2 linked regions of the Oryzias latipes genome follow. The protein of the gene in region 1 interacts with the protein of each later gene in a pairwise test. Links are inferred from orthologs where the notes say so. Each region holds a gene or a part of one and is shown in the gene's direction. Other genes may lie near its edges.

The links.
Region 2: the proteins of slu7 (region 1) and ppil3 interact in binary tests that used the Homo sapiens proteins (3 or more experiments, as listed by UniProt). The link is inferred for Oryzias latipes from reciprocal best matches to the Homo sapiens genes SLU7 and PPIL3.

The regions. Positions count from the first base shown.
Region 1 is NC_019868.2:17,434,319-17,449,769, reverse strand, and holds slu7 (pre-mRNA-splicing factor SLU7), read left to right. Parts: upstream 1-8,782; 5' UTR 8,783-8,946; intron 8,947-9,107; 5' UTR 9,108-9,115; coding exon 9,116-9,267; intron 9,268-9,360; coding exon 9,361-9,514; intron 9,515-9,591; coding exon 9,592-9,672; intron 9,673-10,085; coding exon 10,086-10,250; intron 10,251-10,471; coding exon 10,472-10,537; intron 10,538-10,617; coding exon 10,618-10,749; intron 10,750-11,401; coding exon 11,402-11,499; intron 11,500-11,579; coding exon 11,580-11,647; intron 11,648-11,829; coding exon 11,830-11,969; intron 11,970-12,187; coding exon 12,188-12,349; intron 12,350-12,437; coding exon 12,438-12,539; intron 12,540-12,627; coding exon 12,628-12,705; intron 12,706-12,777; coding exon 12,778-12,897; intron 12,898-12,979; coding exon 12,980-13,159; 3' UTR 13,160-13,410; downstream 13,411-15,451. Other genes in the region: histone-lysine N-methyltransferase, H3 lysine-36 and H4 lysine-20 specific, read left to right, coding at 248-445, 1,703-1,882, 3,124-3,280, 3,367-3,572, 3,655-3,767, 3,849-4,118, 4,211-4,327, 4,397-4,538 and 3 more; c1qtnf2 (complement C1q tumor necrosis factor-related protein 2), read left to right, coding at 14,910-15,159. UniProt on the Homo sapiens protein: Required for pre-mRNA splicing as component of the spliceosome. Participates in the second catalytic step of pre-mRNA splicing, when the free hydroxyl group of exon I attacks the 3'-splice site to generate spliced mRNA and the excised lariat intron.
Region 2 is NC_019867.2:2,410,918-2,426,142, reverse strand, and holds ppil3 (peptidyl-prolyl cis-trans isomerase-like 3), read left to right. Parts: upstream 1-6,853; 5' UTR 6,854-6,921; coding exon 6,922-6,948; intron 6,949-7,054; coding exon 7,055-7,129; intron 7,130-7,213; coding exon 7,214-7,307; intron 7,308-7,829; coding exon 7,830-7,897; intron 7,898-7,981; coding exon 7,982-8,100; intron 8,101-8,848; coding exon 8,849-8,975; 3' UTR 8,976-9,146; downstream 9,147-15,225. Other genes in the region: volume-regulated anion channel subunit LRRC8A, read left to right, coding at 1,268-3,379, 3,700-3,975; uncharacterized protein LOC101161976, read left to right, coding at 9,372-9,395, 9,513-9,686, 10,623-10,801, 13,371-13,464, 13,532-13,601, 13,667-13,703, 13,787-13,850, 13,924-14,082. UniProt on the Homo sapiens protein: PPIases accelerate the folding of proteins. It catalyzes the cis-trans isomerization of proline imidic peptide bonds in oligopeptides. May be involved in pre-mRNA splicing.

The DNA.
Region 1 (15,451 bases):
CTTTTTTACAATTTTGCAATTTTTTTTGAACTTCTTAACCTATTTAATTCTTCATAGTTGTCAAAGATACACATTTTGTTGCCAGATTTGATTGGGTTGTTGCAGCGTTTTCTTCACCTGTGAGCGATGCTTTTGCCGCTAACCTCAGAGTGGTTGTGTGTTCGGCTACACACTGGAACTCAAACTGGATCTACTACTGATGGTTATCATGACAGACTTTCACTGACTTGAACCTCATCTGTTTCAGGGGATCATATGTGCTTCGTGTGCAAGAAGTCTGGTGACGTGAAGCGCTGCATTATCCCGCTCTGTGGCAAGTTCTACCACATGGACTGTATTTTAGCGTTTTCAGCCACCCAGCCGCATAACAAGGGCTTCCGCTGCCCCCTGCACGTGTGCCTGTCCTGCCACATCACCAACCCCGTCAACGTCTTCAGCTCTAAAGGTAAGTCTGAGCATGACTCTTTGGAAATTATGCTTGAATCAAAAAACCGGTGTCATTTTCTAGGACATAGTTTCTGCAGAGTGGCAGCAGTTGATTAGAAATTCACCTCTGCAAATGTGAACATGAAGCATCTTCGCCTCCCTTCCCTCCCTGTTGCTGAGAGCTCTCTGTTTACACTCTCCTGCTAGCTTACCATTAGCGGAGCGACAAAACAAGTAAAGTCATTTATTTTTGATCTAGAAAACGTTTCGGCATAAACATTGGTGATTGTGGAAACAGTCTACATCCAGATTGCTTCACGGAAGGCCAGATGATGACTGAACAGTTTCTGATGGGTGGATCATAGTTTAATGTGACATGCAGCATCCTAGAAGCAGTCACCTCTCTGTTGGTACTTTGTCCAGTTGTAAGCGTGACTCATGAAGAATGCGTTCACCTTTTTGTTTAACTTCACTGTATTTGTGTTGATGGTCAGTTTCGGTCAGTGCTATCATCAGGCCTGAGCTCCTAAAAGCTTTTGTTTGCATCGTCAAATCCGTACAGATCAGTAGTGGGAATCTCCATCGACTGTATGTGAGTACTGGACTGAGTGACCCCTCCCCCTGCCAGCTCCAAGAAGCCAAAATCCCATAGATTTCTAATGAGAACTAATTCTTGCTCTACTGACTGTTCTTAGCATGTTCCTGCTTATTCTATTTTTTACGGTGATTTTTCTTTCTGCAGTGCAAGTTATCCAAGTTATAAACTGACCAATCAGACGCTTGATTTAAAGGTTTGGTGTAGCCCGGGTGTGGACTTCCAAAAAGCTCACTCTTTATTCGTGAGAGTGGTTCCCATAGGAACGCTGACTCAGACCGATTTGGGCCAATCACTGCTTAGTAACGTCATCTGGCTCCAACAATTTGCCGTTGGTGTCGCGAAAAAATGTTGACTCAATTGACTTCATTTGGTTGGTGCCAGAAATAAGCATTTTCTATGGGTGACATCACACTGGCTCTCTCCAGTTCCCCTACATAGTCAACGGGAAGAACTCTGTGTGGAACTCTGAAATGTCTTCTTTAGAGGTCAACTTTTGTTATGTAGCACGTGTTGTCTCTGAGGGCCACCCATAAAGCACTGGTTATACCTGCTTCTGCAGAGTCGGGTGTAATTGTTGGCAACACTTTAATCCTGGTAAACACAAACTATGTCGAAATCTGAAGATGTTATGGAAGGTGACCAATAGGCTTTGAGAGGTTGCAAAACTGTGTGTTTCAGGTCGACTGGCCCGGTGTGTGCGCTGCCCAGTGGCCTATCACGCCAACGACAACTGCATGGCAGCAGGCAGCGTGGTGCTGGACAACAACACCTTCCTCTGCCCAAACCACTTCACTCCCCGCAAAGGCTGCAAGAACCACGAACACATAAACGTGAGCTGGTGCTTCGTCTGCTCTGAAGGTGAGCCTTCCGTGGCAACCGGCGCTGTCACTTCAGCCCCCCCCCCCCCCCCCCCCCCCCCCAAGAGTGCAGAGTGTGTTTTATATGCAAACACTGTTTGAGCTGATCTATACAGAATCAGCAAACGGACTACCGTTCTTTCTTTTGCTCTGTCTAACAAATTTCATTACATGGTGATAACGAAAAGTAACCTTTTTGTTTTTTGAACAAAGCAGTTTGTCAGAGAAAATGTCAAACACCTGCAGTGCTGATCAATTTGTAATTGATTACTATAGTTGTGGACTAACTCAAGTGGAAATTGTGTAGATGTTGTTGGTCATAAACATCAACATGATCCAGCTATTTCAATAGAGCACGTCTCTCTGCATTAAAAGACCTCTCGTGTCTACAGATACACAGTAATCACCAATTAAAATCCAATTTTCAGTGTTCTCTTGCTAGAGAAATACATTGTCTCAATATCAGGCGAAAAAACTTGCTTTCCTGTGATCCTTTTTATTCTATTTTATTTTATTTGACTGTTATTTTACCGTGAAGTCCCATTAAGATCAAACTACTTTTTTAAGGGAGACCTGGGACAAAAGGCATCATCACACTAAAAACATACAGTTAAAACAATAAATTAGAAATTAAATACAGTTAATAACGAGAGACTAGAAACCATCACTATGAGGATACAGAAAAAGAAAAAAGATAGAAGTTACTATCATGAGAAAACTGACCAGTAAAACAGCTAAGTAGGCTATTTGCAGCTTCTGTAGATTTTTTCTATTTATTTATTTTTATTTTAACCTTTATTTAACCAGGATAAAAAAACTCATTGAGATTAAAAATCTCTTTTGCAAGAGCGTCCTGGCTAAGAGGCAGCAGCACAACAATGAGACACATTTCTCATTTACACTCACACTCAACCAGATCTAAATTCTGTTTGGTGACTTTTGTTTTCAATCATTCTTGGACTTCTGCAGGAAACAGAAAGAAACAGAACAGGTTCCTTTGGTTGGGGTAGGAGTTTCCCTTAAAGTCCCATGACTTTAATTAGCAGTAGAAAAACTAAACCTCACTTCTTATCTTGTTTTTTTCTTTTTGTGTTTAGAATTGATTATGAGATGATTTTTCTGACTATTTTTGAAGTTCCTATTTGGGAATTTGAGAGATGTTGGTTCTTAGTCCCTGTCCAGAGACAGATTGGGGCTTTTGGTGAAGGTTGAGTGGTTCATGGGTGTGCTGGGACTCCACAGGGGGCAGCCTCCTGTGCTGCGAAGCCTGTCCTGCTGCTTTCCACCGAGAATGCCTGAACATTGAGATGCCTCAAGGGAGCTGGTTCTGCAACGACTGCAAGGCGGGAAAGAAGCCGCGCATTAAGGACATCCTCTGGGTCAAATGGGGCCGTTACAGGTGAGGACCCCCGTCCCCCACCGTGTGCGCAGCCTCTGTGTGCAGCACCTGATGAGCCTGCGTTTCTGTCTGATCTGATCATTTAGGTGGTGGCCCGCTGAGGTGTGTCTGGCCAGAGACGTCCCGAACAACATCCTGAGGATGAAGCATGAGGTGGGGGAGTTCCCGGTCCAGTTCTTTGGCTCTAAAGATTTCGTGTGGACATACCAGGCCAGGGTGTTCCCCTACATGGAGGGGGACACTCACAATATCGAGAAAATGGGGAAAGGTGCAGACGCAATCTATAAAAAGGGTATGTTTTTTCCAAGTGTTTACCCATGAACTGCCTTCTGTGTAAGTTAGATTCAAATTTGAATGTCCACATTTGTCTCTAGCTCTAAGCGAGGCAGCAGAACGCTTCAAAGAGCTGCAGACAGAGCGAGAGATGAAGCAGCTCCAGGAGGACAGGAAGAACGACAAAAAACCGCCTCCATATCGACACATAAAGGTACGGTGTGAGCCGTCACTCATGACCGCGTTTGTCGTTTTGCCATCTGACCAAGGTTGGACAAATCCATTGGTGTTTTAGGTGAACAGGCCCATTGGGAAGGTGCAGATCATCACAGCAGACTTGTCTGAGGTCCCTCGTTGCAACTGCAAAGCCTCCGACGAGAACCCGTGCGGCGCGGACTCTGAATGCATCAACCGCATGCTGATGTACGAGTGCCATCCCCAGGTGTGCGCGGCAGGGGAACGGTGCCAGAACCAGGCTTTCACAAAGCGTCAGTACACAACTGTAGAGATCTATAGGACGCTGTCCTGTGGGTGGGGTTTGCGGGCTGTGTCCGACATCAAGAAGGTAAAAAAAAAAAAAAAACTGACGATTTTTAGGGGTATTTGTGTCTTTTTCTTTTTTGTTAAATGTGTGAGCATTCTCTGTTTCAACCACAGGGAGCATTTGTGAGTGAATACGTGGGGGAGGTTATAGATGAGGAAGAGTGTCGAGCCAGGATCAGGCACGCTCAGGAACACGACATCTGTAACTTCTACATGCTCACACTGGACAAGGTGAGCCACACCCCTGCAGACACAGGCCTCTTTCAGCAGAGATGGTGATTTGTGGGTTCTTCTCCTCAGGACCGGGTCATTGACGCTGGGCCCAAAGGGAACCAGGCCCGCTTCATGAACCACAGCTGCCAGCCGAACTGCGAGACGCAGAAGTGGACTGTGAATGGAGACACGCGGGTGGGGCTGTTTGCTCTGCAGGACATCGCCAAAGGTTTGACACAATCAGCTGTTTCCTTTCTCCTTTTTTTCTCCCTTTCAATGCATTTTGCACTTATTTGGGTTAAATCCAATGTTCTTCAGGAGAGGAGCTGACTTTCAACTACAATCTTGAGTGTCGGGGCAACGGCAAGACGGTCTGCAAATGCGGAGCGCCCAATTGTAGCGGCTTCCTGGGTGTTCGACCAAAAGTACACATCTACGCTGAAAACATCTTAGCTCACCTTCTTAAACCATAACTGATCATTTCATTCCTCGTCGTTCAGAACCAGCCCCCAGCGGAGAAGGTCAAACTAAAAGAAGGGAAGAGGAGAGTGGGCATGAAGAAGAAGACCAAGCAACAAGTGATGAAGGAGCGGGAGGACGAGTGCTTCAGCTGTGGCGACGGGGGTCAGATAGTGTCATGCAAGAAGCCGGGCTGTCCAAAGGTTTATCATGCCGACTGCCTCAACCTCGCCAAGAGGCCTGCAGGTCAGAACTTCCTGTGGTTTACCGTTGATCCACACGTTCTAAAGATCAGTCTGACTCAGGGAGGCTGAATTCAGAGTCCTGGACACTCCGCCTCAGCTGCATTTTCCTAAAAAAAATACTGACTTTTTAATAACAACAAACAATATTAACCTGCCACATTACTTTGTCACTTTTATACACTTTTTAGAGTGAATTCTCATGGAGGCTTGAATGTTTAGACAGAGATTTTGTGTTGTTTGCATAGTAAACCAGAAGAAAAGCTTAAGTCACTTGATAAAAGCATAACTAGTAATGCAGTTTAATGGCTCCTTCCCACCTGGACTGATTGGTTCAGACTTAATGTCCTGGAATAGTCCGTTTTTTGTGAGCAGATGGGAATGCTCACCTTCTCTGGTGCTGCCTTAGTTATCCATTGTAAGGACAGTACTGCCCCCAGGTGAGCAGCTTTTGTAAGTGCGTGATACACATGTCTAAAGCTGGGGTCCTTAACTCCCCGGTGGTAGAGGGCTAGGGTTGGGCGATGTCCCTTAAATTGGCAGTTGACGATTTTTGCAGTAAACCATCGGGATGGATGATGATATCATTGGGGGGGGGTATTTTTAATTGTTCTTTATTATATAATTATTTATTACTTCATTTATTTTATTTCCCAGCTAATGACTCATCCGCGATGATGCAGTATAAACTGAGGGAAGTGACTTTAACAAAAAATAATAATAATAACAAACAAAATAGAAAAGAAGTAGTCCGTTCCTGCACTTGATTAGTCAAGTGGACCGGTGGACCGAGCGACCGTGTCTCTGAGCAGAGCAGACGGACTTTGTGTTTGAGGGGAAGGGAGGATGCTTTGTTACCTGTCCGCTATGTGTGGGAGACTTCGGACTGCGATCCGTCCCGCAGCTCTAGGTGAACGAGCTACCGAACTCAGGAGAACCGGGTCTTCCGGTAAAAGTGTGTGTCCGGGCAGAGCTCGGACCGCCAGCACACACACAGGGGCTTTGTTTGGGGCGGTGTGTGAGCTTTTCAAAGCAGACATGTAGCTCAGTCCTTAGAAACCGTTCAAACAATCACCTGGATTTGTGTTTCCAGTCGTGTCCCGACTAAATAAAAGCTGATGTTATTCCCACATGTTTACGTTCAGCAAAGCTGCAGATTGCAGCATTTCCCGCATGGATTTTATGTTCATCAAAGGCTAAATGTTGTTAACCCGTGTTAGCCTCTCCTAGCACTGGCTTCTTCCAGCTCCGTTCTTCAACAGAAAAAGCACTGACCCTACGGATTTAAATTAAAATGATGAGCGAACAGGCACTTCATAATAACCATAACATTAATAAAAGCACGTTTAGAAGATCATTTAGGATATTAAGGAACTCATTTCCTCTTGCGGTATTTCAAACACTACTGTACATGTGCGAATGATTTATTCCGACCGAAAGTGTGACCCATGTGAACGATTGTTATAATCGGAAAAAACTTTTCTGGGCCCTTGTACACGGTTGAATTCTAATCCGACCATTGATCCGATAAAGATATTTTGCACATGTAACCGCGGCTTATGATGTCAGCGTGGCGGGGGCCTGATGTCAGTCAGCCAGCATCATCCATCGGCACAACCCTATCGAGGGCCACTGGTTTGTGGGTCAAATGGTACCAGGAAGCACAGAAAGAACACCTACATGACATTCTTTTTGTTTTAATTATTGCAACTGTTGTTCCCTCACATCAATGCAAGTTGCAACTGATTTAGATTTACTCTGTCCCGCAATGTTTTTGAAATTCTTCTTTCTTACTGCGCGTTTGAGCGACAATTTGACCCCCGCCACGCACTCAAAAACTCACCAACACACCTAGCATCCGATGAAAATGAATGTTTGAAATAGTGCTTTCATTTGAAGTGATTCCTCTGATTGCAACATAAATCTCGATTCCAGGGCGATGGGAGTGTCCCTGGCACCAGTGTGACCTTTGTGGAAAAGAGGCTGCTTCGTTCTGTGAGATGTGCCCAAGCTCTTACTGTAAGGAGCATCGAGAAGGAATGCTCTTCATCTCCAAGTTGGATGGAAAGTTGTCCTGCAGCGAACACGACCCATGTGGACCTGACCCACTTGAGCCAGGAGAGATACGGGAATACATGCCCAGCATGGCCTCTGTGAGGCCTGGCGCGGTGGCTGCACCGGTCCTAGATGCCAGAAGAGCATCATCCTCTTCTTCCTCCTCCTCCTCTTCTTCTCCCTATGTTCCCATCTCTTACCCTGACAGCCAAACAGCAGCATCCAAGCGAGAGCCTCCTCCTCGTCTCTACATCAACACCAAGACAGCTACCTCCAGCTTCATCCCCTCCAGCAGCTCCTACCTCGCAGACACGACGGAAGAAACCACGACCTCCTCGTCCGCCTCCTCCAAGGATGAGAGGGAGGACGGGGAGGTGGAGGAGGGGGAGGTCTGTGCGTTGGACATGCAAGAAGTGGAGGAAGATGAAGAGGACGAGGAGAACGACACAGAGATGTTGGAAGAGAAAGAGGAGGAACCCATTTATGGTGGAGATTTGGTGGAAGATGAGGAGGGGGAGGATGAGGATGACCCCTGGGGTAGCTGTTTTGATGATGACGGAGAGGTGGAAGAGGAGGATTTTGAATCTTGGGGTAAATTGGAAGATGAAAAGTAACTCTTTCTTTAGAAATCAGCAAGAATATTTAGTAGACTATGGCAGAAGAGATATTTTGGTACCTCCATGAAAGCTACACTGCCTTCACTTTGGTACAACATTGCCTTCTCATCTCCTCACTGCTGGACTGACAGCGGAGATGTGTACCGGTGCTTATCTCACTTAATCTTTTTTATATTTCTGCCAATATGTTTATGTGTCTGGTGCTGTTTTGTTCTGTTGTTTCACCTTTCACTGTTTACATTTCCTGCCTTTATTTTTTTATCTATATGTTTGGAATATAAATAAGAAGTGGGAAGTTTTCACTTGACCAAACTGTCATCAAAAGAGCATCTTATGCTGCCGTTTTTGTCTTAATGTCGTCTTTTCTTTATAGGGGTCATGGAAACGTGCTCTCCCACTGGTCCATGTTACACTTGGGGCACTGCAGTACAGTGTCTGTGAAAAGTGCAAAAATAAACCCACTGGAATTATTATGGGGCTCTGGATAATTCTTCTCATGACAGAAAATATTTTTATTAAACTGATGGATGTTTCTCCTCCCTGTTAAATGTAGAGTTTTTTTTGGGAAGTTCCACCATAAATAACACTAATAGTAACAGTTGTTTTATTGTATTTTTTAATTTAATTTTACTTAATTTGATCTGTGATTTTTGGGAAAATGTTATATTCCTCTCATTGCAAATCTTGTCTCTTTCAAAAGACCCAAGGGAGATGTAATATTTAAGGAAGATTTAGAATAATCAATAGGTCGTACACAGACTACTTTTACATTTGTTCCCATTTATGAACACGTTTTAAGTGCAGTATTTATTGATCTATTTATTATAACTATGAGATTAGAAACCACAAACAGCCACTGAACGATTTTGTCTGTTTTGAACAAATTCAGTTGGGTTATTTTCGTTAGTTCCATTATTATTGTTATAGCAAAAATTACAAATCCAATTATAAAAGAAAAATAACTACTGTCCAACAAACTCCAATCGGAAGTGAGTGACGGGATTCTTATTTTGCCATGGTTTTTATTTTGAAGGCATCTGGTGTCCACGTGATGTCGCTGTTTTCCGCTGTGACGCCTGACTTTCCGACGAAAGCGGATGTGACGTACCTGAAGATAGTTGGAGTAACATGGCGGTGGTTGCGTTTTAACCAAAACACAGCGCATTATTTTCAAAAGGCTAAAGTTTTCGAGCATATAATTAAAATAATTATTTTTAAAAAGACATAAGCGACATTCTTCATTTTTTCTTCTTCCAGTAACAAGGTAAGGTTATCTTGTAAATTCTGTCCACAATCAAATTGTTTTGCTAACATTTTTACATCTAAGCTAACGTTAACGTAGAAAATGCTCTCCTGTTTAAAACACATAAAACAACACAAAATTGATGAAAATGAAATGCTTAAGTACAGATATGTTAAATCCAGTTTCAGTCATGACGGAGCAGGCGAATACCAGTCCAGTCGAGGGCGTCGTGAACCTCGACGAACCCAAGAAGATGACCAGGGAGGACTGGAGGAAGAAGAAGGAGCTGGAGGAGCAGAGGAAGCTGGGAAATGCTCCAGCTGAGGTGGACGAGGAGGGAAAGTATGTAAACCTCGAGAAGATAGATGATGAAATAGGTCCAATACTGTCAACTCAAATACATGAACTCAATTTATTATTCATCCTTTTCTCTAGGGACATAAACCCTCACATTCCGCAATATATTTCATCAGTCCCATGGTACATCGATCCATCTAAAAGACCAACACTAAAACATCAGAGGCCACAGGATGAAAACCAGAAACAGTTCTCGGCCATTGGCGAGTGGTACAAGAGAGGAGTCCAGGAGGCAAGGATCCATAGAATCAATACTTTGATGTGGTGTTGACTCCTAAGAATGAAGACTGAACTTGTGATCTCATGCAGAATGTGGTCGTCACCAAATTCCGAAAGGGTGCTTGTGAAAACTGTGGTGCCATGACGCACAAGAAGAAAGACTGTTTGGAGGTAAAACATTTTGAAAAAAACATTTTCATACGCATGTAACACAAAGAGCTTTACATAGTACAAATATTTTTTAATTTAAAACCAAAAAACAAAGACTTTCACACACAATGTTAACTCACAATGCTAAAACACAATTATACCCCCATCATAATTAAAGACAGTCCAGTTAAAATTGTGTTTTTAACATGTTCTCTTTCCAACTTTTTTATATGATGGAGGACATATTGAGGGAATTAAGCTTGCAATTGCATTTCTGAGTATTTCTTTACACAAATTTTGGTAAAGCAGGAGAAGACAAAAAAATGCAATTGCAGGGCAGGCATGTATTTTCTGCACCATCTCTGCTGTATTTTCAAGTAATACACTGTGTTAAAAACAACGATAAAGTTTAAGTTTCACTCGTATTTCATCAGCGACCCAGGAAAGTTGGTGCAAAGTTCACAGGAACAGACATTGCTCCAGATGAACACAGTCAGGTTCAGCTGCAGTTGGATTATGATGGAAAGCGTGATCGCTGGAACGGGTATGACCCCGAGGAGCATCAGCGCATTGTTGAAGAGTACGCAAAAGTCGATCTGGTAAGTGGATATACGTTTCCCAAAAATGTAGGTGTGGAAAGTATTCAAGCTGATGCTGCTGTGTTTTCCCCCCTATTCATTTAGCTGCCGTTATTCACTAAAATGTAACCTAAACATCATTAGTTTAGCATGAAATTCAAAATATGGCTGAAGCAGTTCATGTTTTGCTGAACACGTATGTTCTGCTTTGCTCCTGAAACCCCAATTCTTTTATTTCTCAGGCTAAAAGGACTCTGAAGGCGCATAAACTTCAAGATGAGTTGGCCTCAGGGAAATTGGACCAAAATGTAGGTATAAGTGTCCACAAAGATTGTTCTGATATAATATTTCCAATGACCTTTTGAGTTGCTGCGTCTTCTGTGAGCAGGAATGGGAACACGACAGCGAGGACGAGGATGAAGACAAATATGCAGACGACATCGACATGCCCGGTCAGAACTTTGACTCCAAGAGACGAATCACCGTCAGGAATCTGCGTATCAGAGAAGACACAGCTAAAGTAAGAAACAGATGAACAAAAAAGCCAAATATTTTAGTCTTTTTTTAAACATTGGTTTGAGATGGGTTGCATATATTTAGTTTGGTGGCAGATATTTTGAAAGTTTTTCTGTGCTCTTCCACAACCACAGCCTCAGTTGAACTGACAGGATAACCTAAATATATTAGTTTCTATAGAGTTCAATCTAAAACCAAAAATTATCAGATTTTTTGTAAACAAGTATCTAAAAGCAACAAAAAATGAGAATTATCTGCACTTCTGTTGCTACACACGGCTCCTTTTTTTGTACACTGCTCCATCGATGTAGCAAAGACGTATTTCTTCTTTGAATTTTATCCTTAACTTTTATCCTTTACTGCTGTTTTAAGATAAATTTAAGTTAACAGTTGGCGTGCTGCTATGTCACATACCTAAATAATTTTCTTCAATAAATTAAAAAACAAACAAACTATGATGATTAAGCTTGATTAGGCCTTATAACATTGATATTAAAAAATGACCTTTTTGTAAGAGTAAATAATAATAAAATTATTTAGATCTTCAATATATTTTACATAAAATCTCTAATTAAATTTAGCAAATAAAAACTGTGTTTGACTGTAATTTCCTAGACTGTAAAAACCCTGAAGTTCTTACATCTTTTCTTCTTCAGTACCTGAGAAATTTGGATCCAAATTCAGCGTACTACGATCCAAAAACCCGAGCCATGAGAGAGAACCCGTACTCCAACACTGGCATGAACCCTGATGAGTGAGTTACTATTATCTTTCAAAAGGCAGTGTTAGTTTTTCCGGGATCTTCTGCAATGACTGACCCCCTGCGTGTTGCAGAGTTGGGTACGCTGGAGACAACTTTGCTCGCTACTCTGGAGCTACAATAAGCATGGCTCAAACCCAGCGTGAGTCAACACTGTTTTTCCATTTCTTTACAATGTCAAAATCGTCGAGCTTTGATTAAATGGAAGCTGATGGGCTCTTGTGTTGCACATATGTTATTGATTCATATCAAAAGAAATGTACGGTTCTCTGTAGGCGTGTGTCTGTGTGCGACAGCTTGTTTTCATTGTGGTTTTCCTGTCAGTGTTTGCCTGGGAGGCCTATGAGAGAGGCTCCGAGGTCCATCTTCAGGCTGACCCCACCAAGCTGGAGCTGCTCCACCGCTCCTTTAGAGTGAAGAAGGAGGACTTCAAAGAGGAACAGAGGGAGAGCATCCTGGAGAAGGTGCCCAGTTCACCCCACCATGACAATCTTTAGCCGCACAAAAGTTTGACATTTGAAAATGTGGCCCCACTCAATTATTCACTGAATTAGTAGTTTATGTTTAGACTTTGAAAATAGTTTTGTTTTTATCTGGGCCACCCTTCAGTCTGTAACCTAAATATGATTCCATTTATTATTTACTGTATAAATCTGTTCCCATTTGTGTGTGCGGCTCTCAGTATGGAGGACAAGAGCACTTGGACGCACCCCCCCGGGAGTTGTTGTTGGCCCAAACTGAGGACTATGTGGAATATTCTCGTCACGGCGCCGTTCTGAAAGGCCTTGAAAAGGCCGTCGCCCGCTCCAAGTATGAGGAAGACGTCCTCATCAACAACCACACCGTAGGAAAAACAGGACAATCGTTTTTGTGGGAAATGTTCCTGTTACTTTTCTCATGATCACATTGATGCTCCTTTTTCTCTTGGGTAGTGTATTTGGGGCTCCTACTGGAAAGATGGCTTTTGGGGATACAAGTGTTGCCACTCGATGATCAAACAGAGCTACTGCACTGGAGATACTGGATTCAAAACAGTAAGTGCACGGCTGCCCTCACACATGCCCTCTCAGACTTGACGTTCTTCAGTTTACTCAGATGTTTGGTTCTTTTATCAACCTGCAGAACAATTCAGACTGTGTTCCGTTTGAAGACGGGCCGATTGAAAATCAAGAGGAGGAACAGCCCAAGACTCTCCTGGAAGTAAGTGACCACGAGCATGTGAAGAGACAGCTATTTAGAAAAGAAGTTTAAACGTTTGTCTTCATTCTAAAGATGCATCAAGACAAAATGAAAGAGAAGAAGAAGAAAAAGAAGAACAAAAAGAACAAGAAGCGGGCCTCAGACAGCAGCGACTCAGAGGATGAAGAAAAAAAGAAGGAGAAGTTGAAGAAGGTGCAGTACAACGGGTTTTTTTGGTGTCATTTATTGTCATTTTTTTTGGATGGCTAAGCTTCCACGTCATACTTTCATCCAGGCTCTGGACGCAGAGGACAAGCGAGTGAAGCAGGTCGATGCAATCATGCAGCTGGATGAGAGGAAGAGGCCCTACAACAGCCTGTATGAAGTTAAGGCGCCCACCGAGGAAGAGATGGAAGCCTTCCGCATGAAGCGCATACGACCAGACGATCCCATGGCGTCCTTCCTGGATCCCTGATCCACCACCAAATCCAGAAAGACTCAGAATAAACAAGTCAGATGAAAACAGCAACAATCCTGCACTGGAAGTGCTGAAAGAATGCATATTTTTGTCCTCTGAAATGAATTTTCACACCTTTGTAGGACGTTTAGCCTTTGAAAAAACATCTTGTCTTTGTTCCATACCTTTATGCTGATGTGCAGAACATGTCTGTCGCTTTCAACATGAGGTCTGCTTTTTACATTAAACAACATTTTTGTGTAAAAATACATCTTTTTTACTATTTTTATTGGAAAAAAATAAATTTCTTAATCCAAAGTAACCCAGTTCAAGTAGATGCAACTAACGTTAACTATTTGTGCTTTTTGTTCAAATTTTTGTTATTTTTCTCTCTAATTTAAAAAAAATGACAATGTAAAAACATGCAGGGGTTTTTGTACAATTTGTACAATGAGCTTAAACTTTTTACACAAAATAAGTACATCAGGAGATCTCAATAAGAAATAGTAAACAGAATAAAATAATTGAACAGGAGAAAATATTACTCATCACACAGAAGCACACAGTTCCACTGTACTGTATGGTACGCGTTGGGAGTATTATAAAAATGATCAAATTTAATAATAAATCCCTAAAAATGTGAAGAAATCACTATTACTCTGCATATTATGTATAAAAAAATTTGGTTTGAAGAAAGTAATAACAGCATTTTTTATATTTTTACCATCAAAACCTTAATAGGTAATCCAGTTTTTGATTTATGACACTAATATATAGTTTTGCTTTATTATGACTTATTTATTACGATATTTATCATATTTCATCATAGAGTTTGCATTTGAGAAACCATGGCTTAATATCCAACTGAATTACAAAAAAACATGTTCAGCTTTTTATTAGTTTCCATTGATAATTTTTAAAGAATCTAATGAAGAAATACTGAATTAAAAAGTGTGTCCAAATCTTTGAATGGTTATGTAAATACAAACATATGTTTTTCTAATATCAGCAGAATGCTGTATGTTTTCCAGGTGAACCTCACTGAGCTAAAACATTCTCCTTACTGAGTTAGAATGCATTGGCTCTGCAGTTTTCAGTTGTTTAATAAATATAAACAAGAATTTTTGAAGTTACATTTTGTAGACTGATGCAGTGTCTACAGTGTTAGTGTGTACTAGTCTGTCATTTCTGCTAAAGTTTCTCGTGTTCTCACTGCAGTACAGTTGGCCTGGCTATATGACATCATAGTGAAAGTATTTTTGGCCCATCATCTCCTCCAAACACAGGGCGGATGTTTTGCAGCATTAAGAGCTCCTCCAAAGATTTGAAGAAAAACAATGTTCGCTTTGCTGCTGAAGAGTCATGCAAAGACGTTGGTGAGCTTTCATGGAGATCTAGGTTGTGGAAATAGGATAGAAAACCCCAAGAGGCTTTGATTTCCCAACTGGTGAGTTGTGTTTTTATCTTTGTAGAGCTGCAGATTGATGCCATTAGTAAAAAACGCAGCAGAGATCTTTCCTTTTCTTTAAATTAATGACTCGCATTTCTTTCAAAACATTGTTTAGAATACCAAAACTGAATGTGCCACTTAGGTAATGCAAAGATTGGAGGATCTTTATCCTTCTATGCATGCATTTTGTCAATACTCTCTTAAACATGTCCAGGCGAATCCATTTTCATCTAAAACTTTTTCATGTAGGACTGTGGAGCCACATTTGCCCCCTCTTTATTGCTCCATTCTCCCGTTTGTGTCTTTCCAGCGCTCAGCATGCTCCACTTTTGTTTCATGATGTGTTTCCTGTCAGTCGTAAACGGTCAGTCGCCAAATCCTTTGTCCAAGAGGGATCGTCCCCTCACTGTTCATCCGTCCCAGTTGGTCTGCAGTCTGCCAGGTCCTCCTGGGCCTGCAGGAAATCCAGGAGCACCTGGACAACCAGGGTCTGTGGGGCTGATGGGACCACCGGGAAAGGACGGGCCGGATGGAAGTGATGGAGAGAAAGGAGAAAGGGGGGCCAGAGGTACTCACTGCAACCATAATTGTTTTTGCTCATGAGAAGTTAAGTAACTAATTGAATTTGTGTCATTGGGTCAAAATGATTTACCCATCACTTAAATTAATTGACCTGAAACTGTCAAATGATTATTCTGGAGGATCACTTTACCACAACACTAAAGCTATGAGTTTCCTTAGCAAAATGGAGTCTATTCAAGTTTACAAGTCTACTTGGTCTTTACTGAAAGTGAGAATACTTGAAGTTTACTTTTTATATTACATCTACAGTATATATTGTGAACCTAAAATATTTCTTC
Region 2 (15,225 bases), on another chromosome or scaffold:
TAGAATCAACTATAGTAAAATAATTGATCAAAATAAGACTAATGGATGGTGTTATCCCTTCGTCAGACAAAGAAGGAGGAGCAAGTGCATGTAACACTTCACACATCAAACACGCAAGTTAAAACAATTTTTAATTCTAAACCCAGTAAGTTATACTTTTTTGAAAATTTGCAAACATTAAATGATGTTGGCTGTCTGGCAAAAATGAACATTTTTCCTCTTCTAAAGGGGGGGACAAGAGAAAAGGTTTGAGAACCACTGTGTTATACCATGTGTCCGTGTGAATGCTGGGTTCTGATTGGCTGCTGGGCGTGAATTAAAAAGTGATCATGCACACCTAAAAAAATAAGTTCCAGTCACATAGCGTAAATGTTCTGTATGTGTATGTTCTCCTCTGGCTTCTTCAAAACAAACTTCATCTTCATCATCTGGACAAAGAGGTGAACTTTGTCTGAACTGACCCCATCGTCATGACCAGCAAATATGACGCTGTCCTTTGCCGCCGCAGTCGAGGTCGATGCCCGCTCAGCTGATACCATGACAACGCACAACAAATAGTCAATTTTTTGTTAAAAAGCTATTTAAACCGGAAAAATAACTGGAATAAAGTACTAACAATTGATTTAATTTTTATTTCTTTTGGATGTGACCATGGCATGCGCGGGAAAATGGCCTTCGAAGTGTCCATTATCAGAAATTAACAGACTTTATAGATGGACTTTGAACCTCAGTGTCGTCCATTAATTTAAAATTATGGACATTTCATCGGCCAATAACCCTTAATTATCTGACACCCTGCAGCCAATCAGAATCGCGTATTGACCTGGAACATGGTATAAAACTGCTTAAATATTAAATAAGTAACTTTTAAGCCATATATAAATTCTGTTTTTAAAATTGCTTTCAGCTTGAGGCAGAAATTAATGAAAAGTTTAAAGTTTTCTTTTAAATGATGTTGCAGATTCCCTTTTATTTTGTTGTTCGTTGCCTTCCTTGACCCGTTGAATCTATCTGGTTCACGTGTTATGGGAAAAAAAGGGATTTCCTGTTTGTGTTTTTGTTTTTGGTTTTTTTGTCATGGGAATGTGTCACTTCGCTGGTCTGGGGTTCAAATCCCAGGCCACACAGTCATTTTGTCCTTAAGAAAGACACCTGACCCCACATTGTCTTCAAATAAAAAAAGAGAGAAATGTCATGTACTAGTGTTTCAAAATTCAAACAATCTGTCCATAATATTTCTTTATTTTTTTTCCACTACAGATAAGCCATGATCCCCATCACTGAATTGCGGTACTTTGTGGATACACAGCCAGCATACCGCATCCTGAAACCATGGTGGGATGTGTTCACGGACTACATTTCTATCGTCATGCTGATGATTTCCGTGTTTGGAGGAACGCTGCAGATCACACAGGACAAAATGATCTGCCTGCCTTGCAAATGGGTCGTCAATGAAACCTGCAAGAAAAACTTTAGCTCTATTCTGTCCTCGACCTTTTTCAAGGAACCCAAAGGGATCCAGTATGATCTGGACCGGCACCAGTACAACTACGTTGATGCTGTGTGCTACGAAAACAGACTGCACTGGTTTGCCAAGTACTTTCCTTACTTAGTATTACTCCACACCCTGATTTTTCTCGCTTGCAGCAACTTTTGGTTCAAGTTTCCACGGACTAGCTCCAAACTGGAGCACTTTGTGTCCATCTTGCTGAAATGCTTTGACTCTCCGTGGACAACCAGGGCTCTGTCAGAGACGGTGGTCGAGGAAAGCGACCCCAAACCCATGAAAATGAACGGCTCGGTGGACCACAAAGAATCCGTCATAAGTGAAGATGTGGAGGCGAGCGTCCCGATGCTCCAGAGGACAAAGACGCTGTTCGAGCAGGGCATCGTCGATCGCACAGAAACGGGAGTTTTAGACAAAAAAGAAGGCGAGCAAGCGAAAGCCCTTTTCGAAAAGGTGAAGAAGTTCCGCATTCACGTGGAGGAAGGAGATATCGTGTACCGACTGTACATCCGCCAGACCATCATCAAAGTGATCAAGTTTATTTTGATTATCTGCTACACGGGGTATTACGTGCATGACATCAAATTCAGCGTGGACTGCGCCGTTAATATAGAGAGCCTGACTGGCTACAGTGTTTACCGCTGTGCTCACCCGTTAGCTACTCTTTTTAAAATCCTAGCCTGTTTCTACATAAGCCTGGTGGTGGTTTATGGTCTGATCTGCATGTACACCCTCTGCTGGATGCTGCGTCGCTCTCTGAAGAAGTACTCCTTCGAATCCATCCGTGAAGAGAGCAGCTACAGCGACATACCAGACGTCAAGAACGACTTTGCATTCATGCTGCACATGATCGATCAGTATGACCCTCTCTACTCCAAGCGCTTCGCCGTCTTCCTTTCAGAAGTCAGTGAGAACAAGCTGAGGCAGCTCAACCTCAACAACGAGTGGACTCTGGATAAGCTCCGGCAGAGGATCACCAAGAACTCCCAGGAGAAGTTAGAACTGCACCTCTTCATGTTGAGTGGCATCCCCGACACCGTGTTTGATCTGATGGAGCTGGAGGTTCTCAAGCTGGAGCTGATTCCAGATGTCACCATCCCACCCATCATTGCCCAGCTGGTAAACCTGCGAGAGATGTGGCTTTATCACACCCCGGCTAAAATCGAAGCCCCCGCTCTGGCTTTTCTGCGTGAAAACTTGAAGTCTTTGCATATCAAGTTCACAGATATAAAAGAAATCCCTTTATGGATCTACAGCTTAAAGAATCTCAGTGAGCTTCATCTGACGGGGAACCTCAGCGCCGAGAACAACCGTTACATAGTCATCGACGGCCTCCGGGAGCTCAAGAGGCTCAAGGTTCTTCGTCTGAAAAGCAATCTAACCAAGCTACCTCAAGTGGTGACCGATGTGGGCATGCATCTCCAAAAGCTCTCCATCAACAACGAAGGAACCAAGCTGATGGTCCTGAATAGTCTGAAGAAGATGGTCAATCTCACAGAACTAGAGCTCATTCGCTGTGATCTGGAGCGAATCCCGCACTCCATCTTCAGTTTGCACAACCTGCAGGAAATCGATTTGAAGGACAACAACCTGAAGACCATCGAGGAGATTATCAGCTTCCAGCACCTCCATCGTCTGGTCTGCCTGAAGCTCTGGTACAACCAGATCGCTTACATCCCCATCCAGATCGGAACCCTGAACAACCTGGAGAAACTGTACCTCAACAGAAACAAGATTGAGAAGATCCCCAGCCAGCTGTTCTATTGCCGCAAGCTGCGCATCTTAGACTTGAGCCACAACAACTTGACATCCATCCCAGCAGACATCGGCTTCCTGCAGAATCTTCATTACCTGGCAGTGACGGCTAACAGGGTGAGTGTCTGAACCCGGCTTCCCGACCCTCGAGTGGTTCAGGTCGATTATTCTGTCTTCTTTCTTACTGCACCTTGGAGTGGCACATACTCCAAAGCTCCCTAAACTTTGCATGCATCTAGTACCAGTAAGAACGAAGTTTTGGTCCCACCCGATTGATATCTATGGAGATAAAGCCAACAGAAGAGCTGCCATTTTGAAAGAAAGTGAAAGGGAGGGGGCGGGGGGTTTGCGGGCTAAACAATTCATGGTGTCTTTTAAAAAACTAATACTTGCATGTGTCGTTCTTTTTTTTTTTTTTTTCCACCCCAACCTTAAAGATTGAGAGTCTGCCAAACGAGCTCTTCCAGTGCAAGAAGCTTCGCACCCTGAACTTGGGAAACAATTGCCTCCAGTCTCTACCGTCCCGCTTCGGAGAGCTGACCGCACTGACGCAGCTGGAGCTGAGAGGAAACCGTCTGGAGTGTCTCCCCGTGGAGCTGGGCGAGTGCCGACAGCTCAAGCGGACCGGCCTCGTGGTGGAGGAGGACCTTTTCAACACCCTGCCCTCTGAAGTTAAGGAACTTTTGTGGAAAGCCGATAAGGAACAGGTTTGAAAAGCTCCGCCAGTGACATTGGAGCGCTGATAACTCTGTGTTGACGCAGGAAGTACTGTCTGCTCCGTCCCAAAGGAAGTCTGACGTTGGCGTCAGTCGTGCTGTCCATGAGGCCGACTGTGTCCCTCTGCAGGAATTCTGTCTGTGGTCGCTGTGGTTAGTTTTATCTTTATGAACAGTTTCCTGAGGCGTCTCTCAACAGGCCCGTGATTATCTTCTTCTCCAATAACGTAGCAGTGCCGTTGGGGTCGGATTAAGGAATTCCAAGATGGCGTTCCCACATTTTTACCCGCGATGGGTAAAATCAAGGATTATAGATGTTCTAATGCTGTAGAACTCCTCACTATACACTCTCTGCACTTTTCTCCAACAAACAGGAACATTTTCACGCTTCTCTCTCATTTAAGCTCCAAAATTTAGACCGATGTAGAAAATCAAGTCCAGTTTTATAGAATGAAGTAAAAAATCAGTCTTTGTATTTTAGAGGGATGATAATTCATGAAATGATTGTTTATTATTCTAAATTAGAAGGTGACCAAGTTTGACTGAGAAGATGGATCGATGTACCTGGAAAAATGTCGACTTAGGCTGAAGTCCAAAAAAAAAGCTACTATTTTATTTAACCAATTGCCATTGGTGACTTTTTACCATATTGAGACGTTATTTTAAATATTTTTTGTATTTGTTTGAACTGAGTCGTTTTATCTCCAGAGGGGGGGTTACATGACGTCTTCATCAGAGAAGTTTGCTTGTCGGGAGTAATTGTGTGACATGAATATTGTTTACCACTCTGCCAATATAAACTGATCAATCTTATATTTGTGAAAGAAACTGTAAAAAAAAGAAAAAAAGTTGTATTTAAGTTACATTATTATCATTATTTAACCACTTATTTATCACATTATTTTTGCCTTAATGTTTGTATTCTTTGTTCCTTTATTAGAGCTGGGAAGTCTTTAACTAAAGAAAATGTCTGTTTTCCTCGGATAGTTGAGACGTTCGTCTTCTTTCTGCAGACAGTTGGGAGACTAAGGATGTTTTCTCACGTTTCTTGATGCTCCTCATTTTATCAAGTGACCATAATTTAGCTTTATTAAAGTTACACAGCCAAGTCAAATAAAGCAAACTTTTTTCATTGCGTCACCTTTATTTGTAACTTTTTCTTTTTCTTTTTAATTTTTCTTTTTACTGCAGCGTCACAATTTACAGACAAAACAGTGTTTTGTGTGAGTGTGTGTTAAAAGTATGTGATACACTTCTAGCAGACGAAGGGATCAGTATTCGTGTGTGTTTGTGTTTTGTTTTTATCATTTCTAAAGTCTGAAGAAAAAAAGAAAACATGTATTTGTAGCAGAGATGTTGTTTTATAGTAAAGGTTTAACATTTGACTTAAAGCTAAAGTTTTACTTCTAGCTTTTGTGTGAAAAAACCCCCAATCAAGATTGTGGGTCAGCAGAAAAAAAACCATGTTTGTTTCTTTGTAACCTTTGCAGCGGCATTACATGTTAGTATAATAAACGTCTTTTTCTCTAACATGTCTAACTGCTGTACTGTATTTGTAGATTTTGTCTTAATTTGGATTTTTTTTTGCCAAATTGCAGTCTAGTTGCTTAAGATTTCCATCAGAGGTTCTGCAGGATGCGATTGCACCGTCCCACCCGTCACATTAAGACGCCTAATGATGTACTTTACAGTGTATGCAGGAAATGAAAAGCTGCACTTTAAACTGTTCTCATGATATGGAAGTAAGAGGTCATTAAACAAGACAATCATTTATTATCTGTGAAAGTCTTGCATTGAAGGGGTTTGAAAGGAATTACATATTTGATGAGTTTGTTCAATGCTTTGTCTGCACCATGTCTTCCTTATGTAAGGGATTGTGTATTTGAAGAAAACTGCACGTATTAAAATACCACTCAATTTCTCAGGAAACGACCAAGTATTCACTTTATTTGTTGTTGTTTTTACAGCATCATTTGAAACACTTCTATGCATTTGTGTTTGCATTTATTCAGAAACTACTTGTTTCCTGTGGTTTTGACTTTTCTCCATCATAGTTCTGTCCTTGTGAGTAGCACAATTCAAGTACATGGATGTTTTGTGTTTGCATGACGGGATGTTTTCTTTTAATGGGTTTTTTAAGCATCTTTGGGTACAAAGTTACAGGTCATGTTTCTTTAATTGTCACAAATGCAAAAGCTGCATTTAGTTCAGTTCAGTGTTACTTTTCACCAAAATAAAGAAAAACTACAGACCATGCAACACTGTGAGCTTTCTAACTGTTTGAAATCTATTTTATTTCTGTTGATTATCTGAAGGCAGGAGTGACAAATTATGTAATTTTTTTTATTACACTCCAATAGTCACTCGAGAGACTTGAAATGACCAAAAAAAATTATATTAACTGTCTGTGTTTAACTGTCTCTCTTAACAAGAGGTTATATTTTCAAGCTATTTTATGTTAAAAACATACATTGTGCAAGTTGACATAGTTAATTTTACTATTTTGACATGAAAAAGATAACTGATAAGAATCCATTGATTAATAATGACAATTATAAGAACAAAACTTGTTTTTCCTCTATCCCGAGCTTAGAATTTTTTTTAATTTCTAAGTCACAGGTAATAATCTTGTATGGATGCTGTTCATCCTTTTTTAAATTTATCGTCCATCAGTGCAATCCTTTTTCATTATACATTCTTTTAAAGTTACGTTTGTTACTGTAATATATAGAGATTTAAATATTTTTTTTAAGACGGTAAAACTGTGGTTGTTATGCGGAACCTTTGGTTTCCACTGAGTCGGTCTTGTCGGACACATTTCTGAGATGCACCGGTACTCTTTTTGAGCATTTGAGATGGTAGGAATCAATTCTGGATTTACGAAATGTTTCATCTCTGTGCTCATTTTTAGAAAAAGTTCAGCTACTCGGTTATTTATCACTAATGTTGTATTTTAGTTGTTTAATTCCGGTAACTGTTGTAGCTTTACGTTTTTGTCGCTAACGGGGAAATCCGAAGCCTTCAAGTCAACGTTTAAAATCCTTCATCTCTTTATTATTTTTGTTCGTTTTTGCAGGCGGTAACGTTTCACACAGACCTGGGAGACCTGAAAATAGAGTTATTCTGTGAGCGCACTCCCAAAGCATGCGAAGTGAGTTTATAAGAGTCGTCTCTATGTTTTGTTTAGACCGCAACAAAACTTTATTTATAACTCCTATCTTGACAATGTTTTCAGAACTTTCTGGCGCTGTGCGCTAGTGGTTTCTACAATGGCTGCGTCTTCCATCGGAACATTAAAGGCTTCATGGTTCAGACTGGAGACCCAACTGGTTTGGATTATTTATTCATTCTGATTTTATTTTGATAACCACCGGAAATGTCAGAATTAGTTCCACAATTGTTTCAAAATAATAGTACTCATCTGGAATCAAAGAGGCATCGAATAAATTACCTTATAAATATTAAAAAAACGCAGGTATTGAGTAATTTGAAATGAGTTTTATTCATTGTCTAAAGCTTTTCCGTTTAGTTTTTTTAAAGCCCCGTCTCACAACTCGTGTTTTCAAACTGCAGAACACACAAAAAAAGCATCAAATCAAGCAAAAAATAAAATAAAAGGAATCACAATCGTTATAGTATTTCTAGTATTTATTTAAGGATATCTGGAAACAATTGTGTTTTCACTGGTGTTTTTACTGGTGAATTAGAGGCCTGGAGTTGCTAAATAAAAGTGTAGAAGTAAAGCTAGTTTTAAAGTATATTTTTACACAGTTATCTGGGTTATTATAACTTGATAGTGCCCACCTCTGATCACTACACTGATGCCTCTTTGAATATTTACATTACTAAAGGTACTGGCAAAGGCGGGACGAGCATTTGGGGTCGCAAATTTGAAGACGAATTCAGTGAACACCTAAAAGTAAGTATCAGTCAGTCTGCTTACAAACTATGTGCTGCTGTGAATCAACTGCTCGTCTGTTTGCTTTGTGCTCTTTGACTTTAGCATAACGTCAGAGGGGTGGTCTCCATGGCAAACAGTGGCCCCAACACCAACGGCTCACAGTTCTTCTTCACATATGCCAAACAGCCCCACCTGGACATGAAGTACACCATCTTTGGAAAGTACGGGACTTGCACCACAGTGATCAGATTATTGCAGGGTTGCAATAATCATTCTTGACACGTCTAGTCGCTTTCGATAAAAATCCATCCGTTACTTTCCTAAAGCAGCTGCGCCAACCACTAACTTGAAAACCTCCAAGCCAGCAAAGTTACCTAAAAACAAACGTGTTTGGAAAGTTTCTTCTGGAAGAAAAGTCAGTGGGGAAACAGAACTTCAAAATAAAAGAGCTTTACTTGACAGACAAAAATCCAGATTTCCTGTGACACTTGTTCCCACAGACCATAATAACGCAGAATATTCAGCAACTCTCTGTCCGATGAGATCAGGATGTTGCTAATAAAGTTCCTCAAACAGTGAATTCATGTTTATTCTTATTTTTTAGAAAATACCAGTTTAATGACGTGTTTTTTTATTTATCCGTCACATCTTAAAAGTTGGACAAGGCTGAATTCTTTTTAGCTTCCTCTTTGACAGTTATGGGTTAATGGATTTCATGTTTGCACTTCCGACAGGAAATCTAGTTTTAGATCTAATTTTACAGAGGATGAAGATAAGCTATACCCTCAAATTAAGGTAAGCTGTAAAGTGAAAAAGAAGAAGTGGACGCCCACTTTAACCTCGTACAGTCCAGTCCGGGAAAATATAGTCTGACATCTAACCAGTCCGTGCTGCTTTCAGTACTTAGATTTTCACCTCAGCCCTTGTGTTTTGTCGTGTTGTTTAACTTCTGGTTTGCTCTGCCTCTAGGATCATTGACGGCTTGGAAACATTGGATGAACTAGAGAAGCTGCCTGTGAACGAGAAGACATTCCGGCCGATAACCGACACCCGGATCAAAGATGTGACCATTCACGCCAACCCTTTTGCTGGATAACTGTTGTGCGTTACTTTGTGCTTCAGTGAAAATCTGTGAAGATTAAAAAACGCAGGAAAAAATAATAATGTCTTTACTGAAGGCAAATAAACCATTGTGTTTGTTTAGCAAATGCTCTAGACTTCTGACCGTTTTTTTTTGTACCAAATAAAGTTTTATACCACTTTTGTATCTTTTGGTAAATTTGTTTTCTGTGACAAAAATATAAAATTAAGTTGTGTTTTTTTTCTATGTATTTATTTATTGGTGTTAAGGTTTTTTTCTATAGCCTATTTTTATTTAGTTGGAGGTAGAATTCTAATAAGTAACGCTAAACTACAAGCAAGTGTTTGTCGCGTGGGATGACGTCATCAACAGGGGACGCAGCCTGTTTTTGCTGAATCGATTTTCGCCGAAATGGCAACGAGCGACGCTTTTCAAGTAAGTCGCCTCTCGATCGCCTCTCGCGTGAACATTTTAGGATTACGTGTCTTCCAGTCAGGACACTACCTCTCTAGTTTGTGCATAAACGTCATGTTTGTAGTTTGTTCTGTTTAGGTTTCCTCCCTGAAGGGTAAAGTGGCCCTGATCACGGGGGCCAGCTCGGGGATAGGGGCCGGCACCAGCGTCCTGTTCGCTCAGCTGGGAGCCCTGTTGGCGCTTAACGGCCGTGACGTGGAAAACCTCACCAAAGTAGCCCAGAAATGCACGCTGCAGTGCGGCGGCGCAGAGGTGGGGACACGCCCCCTTTACTGCTATAAAATAATGAACACTATTTTATGATGAACTCCTCCATGACTCTTTGGTTATGTCAAGGCTTTCGGTTCTTGTTTTCTGTTATTTTATCTTTCATTTCAAGAAAACCCAAGTAGAAAAAAACCTTCAAAATCAAATGTACACTTAATCCTTTATTTATCCACCAATCGAACCAGAAAACGATATTCACTTTTACCATATAGGTTTTCTTTTTTTATTTTTTAGTTGTTTTGATGCTGAAAAAAAAATAACCAATAAAGCATCGTATGTGTAACGTGTGTCCTATGGAGGTAAATCCTAAAGACAGAACGACAGTGGTGCCAGTAAACAGCCCTGCTGAACCCCGTTAATAATCCAGAGAGGCTTCAACCTGATCACCTTACAGACTGATGGTTCCATCAAGAAGCAGATAACGAGATCCTGAAGACATCTTTTTTCAACAGTTTGAATTCATCTCATCAAATATCATGGATAATGGGTCAATTATCATATCAATGGTGAGCATTGAACATCACCCAGTGAGGGCCCTTAGGCAAGGCCCTTAACGCTACTGCCTCCCGAGCGCAGTTAGGCTGCAGCTCACCGCTCCCCCAGGGGATGGGTCAAATGCGGAGAAGAATTTCCCCATTGTGGGATCAATAAAGTATCAATTATGTAATTAATTAATTATTATTATTAATATAATTAGGAGTCATCTTGGGATTTTTATCCAAAATATCATTTGAGATGTTTGTGTTTTGCTTCAAACTGTGGATTGTAAGGAGGTCCTGCCTGCGCCAGCCTCATAAAAAAAACAAAAAACAAATCAGAAATGTGGAGTGAAGTGTGCTTTGGTGCTTCCTGTCGTTTGAGTTGGACTGAAATGATGTGCATTTTGTTTAAAATCGTAATGACGGCTCCCTTTCTGCGCAGCCGCTGCTGGTTCCCGGAGACCTGACCGACGAGGAGACGGTGAGGAAGACCGTGGAGCAAACTCTGGCTCACTTTGGCCGGCTGGACGTGCTGGTGAACAGCGCCGGCATCCTGGCCATGGGCAGCATCGAGACGTCAGACCTGGCTCAGTATGACAAGGTCATGGACGTCAACGTCAGGTAGGATTCAGAAGACGGAGGATGGACACGGCGCCGTGCCCAGCACAGTCCAGGATGTCGGGGAATGATGGCTCTCGCAGGAAAAGGAGTCCGTCCACTTTTTTTTAGAAGACCACGGTGCCAAAACTGAATCTTAAAGTCCCACTCTGATCATTCTTTTGATCTTTTTTCAGTAGGATGACGCTTTTTTAGACAAAGTCTCTGCAGAGCGGCTGGAGTTCATTAGAAATTCACCTATTAGTTGTGGTCCTGTTGGTGCTAAGCGACCCTAACCCCACTTCCCATCATCCATCTGTTTACGTGTCCTCGTGCTGGCGTACAGCCCCTCACACCCCCAACCTCACATTAGCGATGGATCTATCCAGGCGTGTCGTTCAGATCCAGATTCCAGCTCAGACCAGGAAAACAAAGACGTTCATGGATCAATTGGACTGCAGGTGGGTGCATCAGAAAGGGGCGGAGCTTGAGACCCGCCCGGCATAGAAGTGGACTTCTAAAAACCCACCCCTGTTAAGGCCCGTTCACACCGGGACGAATTAACGACGTTTAACGCCTCGTGACTAAACAAAGGGCCCCAATGAGAGTGTGCACACCGACGCGAAAAAACGCCACGCGACAAAGCGTCAGAAAAAAAAACGCCTCGGGTTCGTTTTTTTTTTTCGACGCGTCGCGTCGAAATCTACTCGACCAATGAGAATGGCGCTTTTGCTCACGTGTCTGGAGCTTCTGAAGTTACAGTAAAACACAACTTGGGGGCGCTCAAACACAAAACTGCCTTGCTGAGCACACATACCAGCGAAGAAGATAGACGCCAAGTAGCGTCTACACAGCCGCGAAGCAATAATGACGGACATTCTAAAACATCCCCGAACCAAGCACCAGTTGGAGCTACTGGTGCTTGAAATATTCATGTTTTCTTTGTTTGATTCTGACAAGCGTGTAAATACTTGCTCTCTTCTTCTGAGTGAAAAGCGACTTTAAGAAGCGTAAAGTTGCGCAGCGCCACCTTGTGTACAGGAGTATTTCTGTTTTACATTAAGCGCCATCTAATGTCAGGGAATGAAATTGCATGTTCACTCCACTCATCGTCAGCGAAAATCGCCTGGGTGTGAACACAAAAAACGTGGCGAAAAACGCTGGCGAATAACGCCTGGCGAATATTCGTCCCGGTGTGTACGGGCCTTTATCCTTTGAGATTTTACAGTATTTGTGGGATTTGGGGCATTGGGTGGTTTCCTCCAGCTGAACTCGTTCCCAAAGATCTGCCACTACACCCCCTGCGACACTACACCTCACTTCACCTTGTGGCGATGCAAACTGTTGAAACTGTAATCTGTCCGCTAAGGTGGGCGTTGGCGCGGCCCGCTGCTCTGCAGAGATGGGAACACGTGGAACAGGCTCTAATTAAATCAGGGCTGCTCATCACACAGGAGCTACGGGCAGAAATGCGCCTGCAGCCGAGCTGAAAGCTGTCAGCCTCTGTGAGCGCGCTCAGTTCAGCATCACTGTCTCTTGCCAGCGCAGCTTTCAGGAAAGCTCACCGTGTCAGCACACTGTTGCTGAGCTTTTCCTCTTGGCTCTTGGTTTGTAGAAATCCTAACAAACTTCTTTAGCCTCCGCTTAGATTTGCTGTCTTCTGTTCGGCAGAACATGATGATAAAGGTTCATGGTTTCGGTTGGTTTTATTCTGAGAAGCAGACCGGAGGCAGAGCTGGAGCTAGGAGAGAGGAAGATGATGGAAGTTCGGGACTGAATCCATCAGAGGAGCCGATGTTCTGGAGACATATGCAGATGGAGGTGGTCTGGACACACTGAGAGGAGGGACAGCCGGGATGTGGGCGAGAAGATGCTGAGGGAGGAGGTTCATGGAGGGAGAGGAGGGTGGTTGGTGTGAGGAGGATGCAGGGAAAAAGGAGCAACCAGAAGGCAAAGAAGGGGGTGAAAGAGTGACAAAACCCGCATGCAGCATGTTTCTTTGATGTATGGTTTGTGAAGACATGGAGATGTCTGCATAAAAAAATCACCAAATCGTTTAAACGATTCAAGAAAATTACGATATTTTTCCTCATCTATCATATTTGGCAGACCTTAAAGGTACTTTTCCATCGTTTTGGTCCTCAGTTTTCAGTAAGATGATAAACTAAATAAATGAAAGAAATAAATGAATGATAATCAACTTTGGAATACAAATATTGATGCATTTTCATCATCAGAATATAAAAAAACGTCTAAAGTATTGGAGATGTGAAGCTTTGATGCATTCGGAACTGGACTTTAATGGAAATAACTTGTTCTGATGCACAAACACAGGATTTTGGAGCAGATGATCTTTTTTACGAGTTGTTTTTTTACGCAAACCCGTTTAGGCTTTTACCCCTTCCATGTACACCTCACTAAAATTCCTACTGACGAGCTGAAGAGTTTTGAACGTGGAAGCCAGAACTCGCGATTTCACTACTTTTCATCTGAAGTGGTCGCCTGACCAGCAGTGGCGATGTGAACGTAGCTTTAGAACAAAAAAACGACTTTAGCAGTTACGTCATATCAAGTCTCAGGTCTGTGTTCTCAGATCTGTTTACCACCTGACTCAGCTGTGCGTGCCGCATCTGGTACAGACCAAAGGCTCCATCGTCAACGTGTCCAGTGTGAACGGACAGCGGTCTGTGAGTATCCTCCATCGCCATCAGCTGCTCCGTTCTCTGCAGAGTCTGACTGTCGTCGTCTGCTCAGTTTCCTGGTGTGCTGGCCTACTGCATGTCTAAATCCGCCATCGATCAGTTCACGCGCTGCATAGCGTTGGGTGAGTTGAGTGTTTTCCTGTTTGAGGCACCAAGAACGCTGTGAAACCCTCTTTTCTATCTTTAGAGCTGGCGCCCAAGCAGGTGAGGGTGAACTCTGTCTGGTACGTATAGAAGTCTCTGGAATCAGCTGGACGTAAACGCAGGCGCTTGCTGATGCCTCGGACGGCGTGCTCGTGTTTTTCAGCCCTGGTGTGATCGTCACGGAGGTCCACAAGCGGGCGGGACTGGACGACGAGCAGTACGCCAAGGTAAAAATGACCCGGAGGAGAACTTCCTGCTCAATCATCAACCCAGAATCTGGAATCGACCTCTCTCCTGCAGTTTCTGGCTCGCTGTAAGGAGACCCACGCCCTCGGTCGGCCCGGCGAGGTGGAGGAGGTGGCGCAGAGCATCGCTTTCCTCGCATCGGATGCCGCCAGCTTCATCACTGGGGTCAACCTGCCGATTGATGGCGGTCGCCACGCCATGTGTCCAAGATGAAACTAAACGTGTGAAAGTTTCTGATAAAATACTCGTAAACCTTTCAGTACGTCCGTGTTTTTGTGTCTTTGGAGAGAAACGGCTGAAGGCTGCTGAAGCTGAACTGAGGGCCGAGGATGATGTTAGGGGTCAAACCTCAGGCCTCCAGGGTCATTGTCCTACACGCTAACCTGCCAGTAGCTGCGGTTTACGTGTGCCAAATATCTTTGATCAGATCAAAGATGGGGTTTGAATTGAACTGTATACGTGGACCCAGAAAAACTTCATCCGATTATAACAAACGTTTGCATACGCCACACTTTTGGTCGGAATAAATCATCTGGACATGTGCAGAACCGTCTAAAATACCGGAAACGGGCGTGGAAGGAGAAACGGCGAGTTCCGCTGTAAACAAAGCTGATGATCTTCTAAACGTGCTTTTATTATTATGAATATTATTATTTGGTGCCTGTTCGCTCATAAGTGTTTTAATCCGTGCGACCAGTGCTTTATTCTTGGCTGCACGGTGAGGATCAGGTTAATACGTGCCAAAAACTTTTCGTTGTGGATGAACTTCAAATCTGTGCGTTCAACGCCGCAATGTGCATCTTTGCTGCACGTAAATAAATTACAAAGCACCCTCCCCTGCCCGCAAACGGAGCTACGCGTCCGGCTGCTCTGCTCAGAGACGTGCTTCGCATGGGGGGAGCAGGCGACTGGTCCTGGTTGACACCGTCTACGCATGACCTAAACCAGAGCAGCAGTGACCCACAATCAGAATGAACAATGAACTGTTTACATGCACCACGATCGAACAATCAGCAACCCCCCCCCCCCCCCCCATCTCCACCGGAAGTGATCAGGTTTTCACTCCAATTACTTTTGTCCATGTAAACGCAGCTGTTGAAGTTCCTGATAGGCTAAACACACCTGTGTATTTAACCCTTGTGCTATCTTAGATGACCCCCACCCTTCCATTGAGGTGTTCTCCCCACCATGACAAAGGTGGATAAAGATGGAAAGATTTCATGTAATCCATGGACACCAGTGAAGATCACAAATCATTGAAGAAAAAAGGTTCAGGGCACAATCTAGTGGGTCTAGATGACCCAACTCCCAATGGTAAAGTAGGATAGCACAAGGGGTTAAACAAAAAAAAAGCTA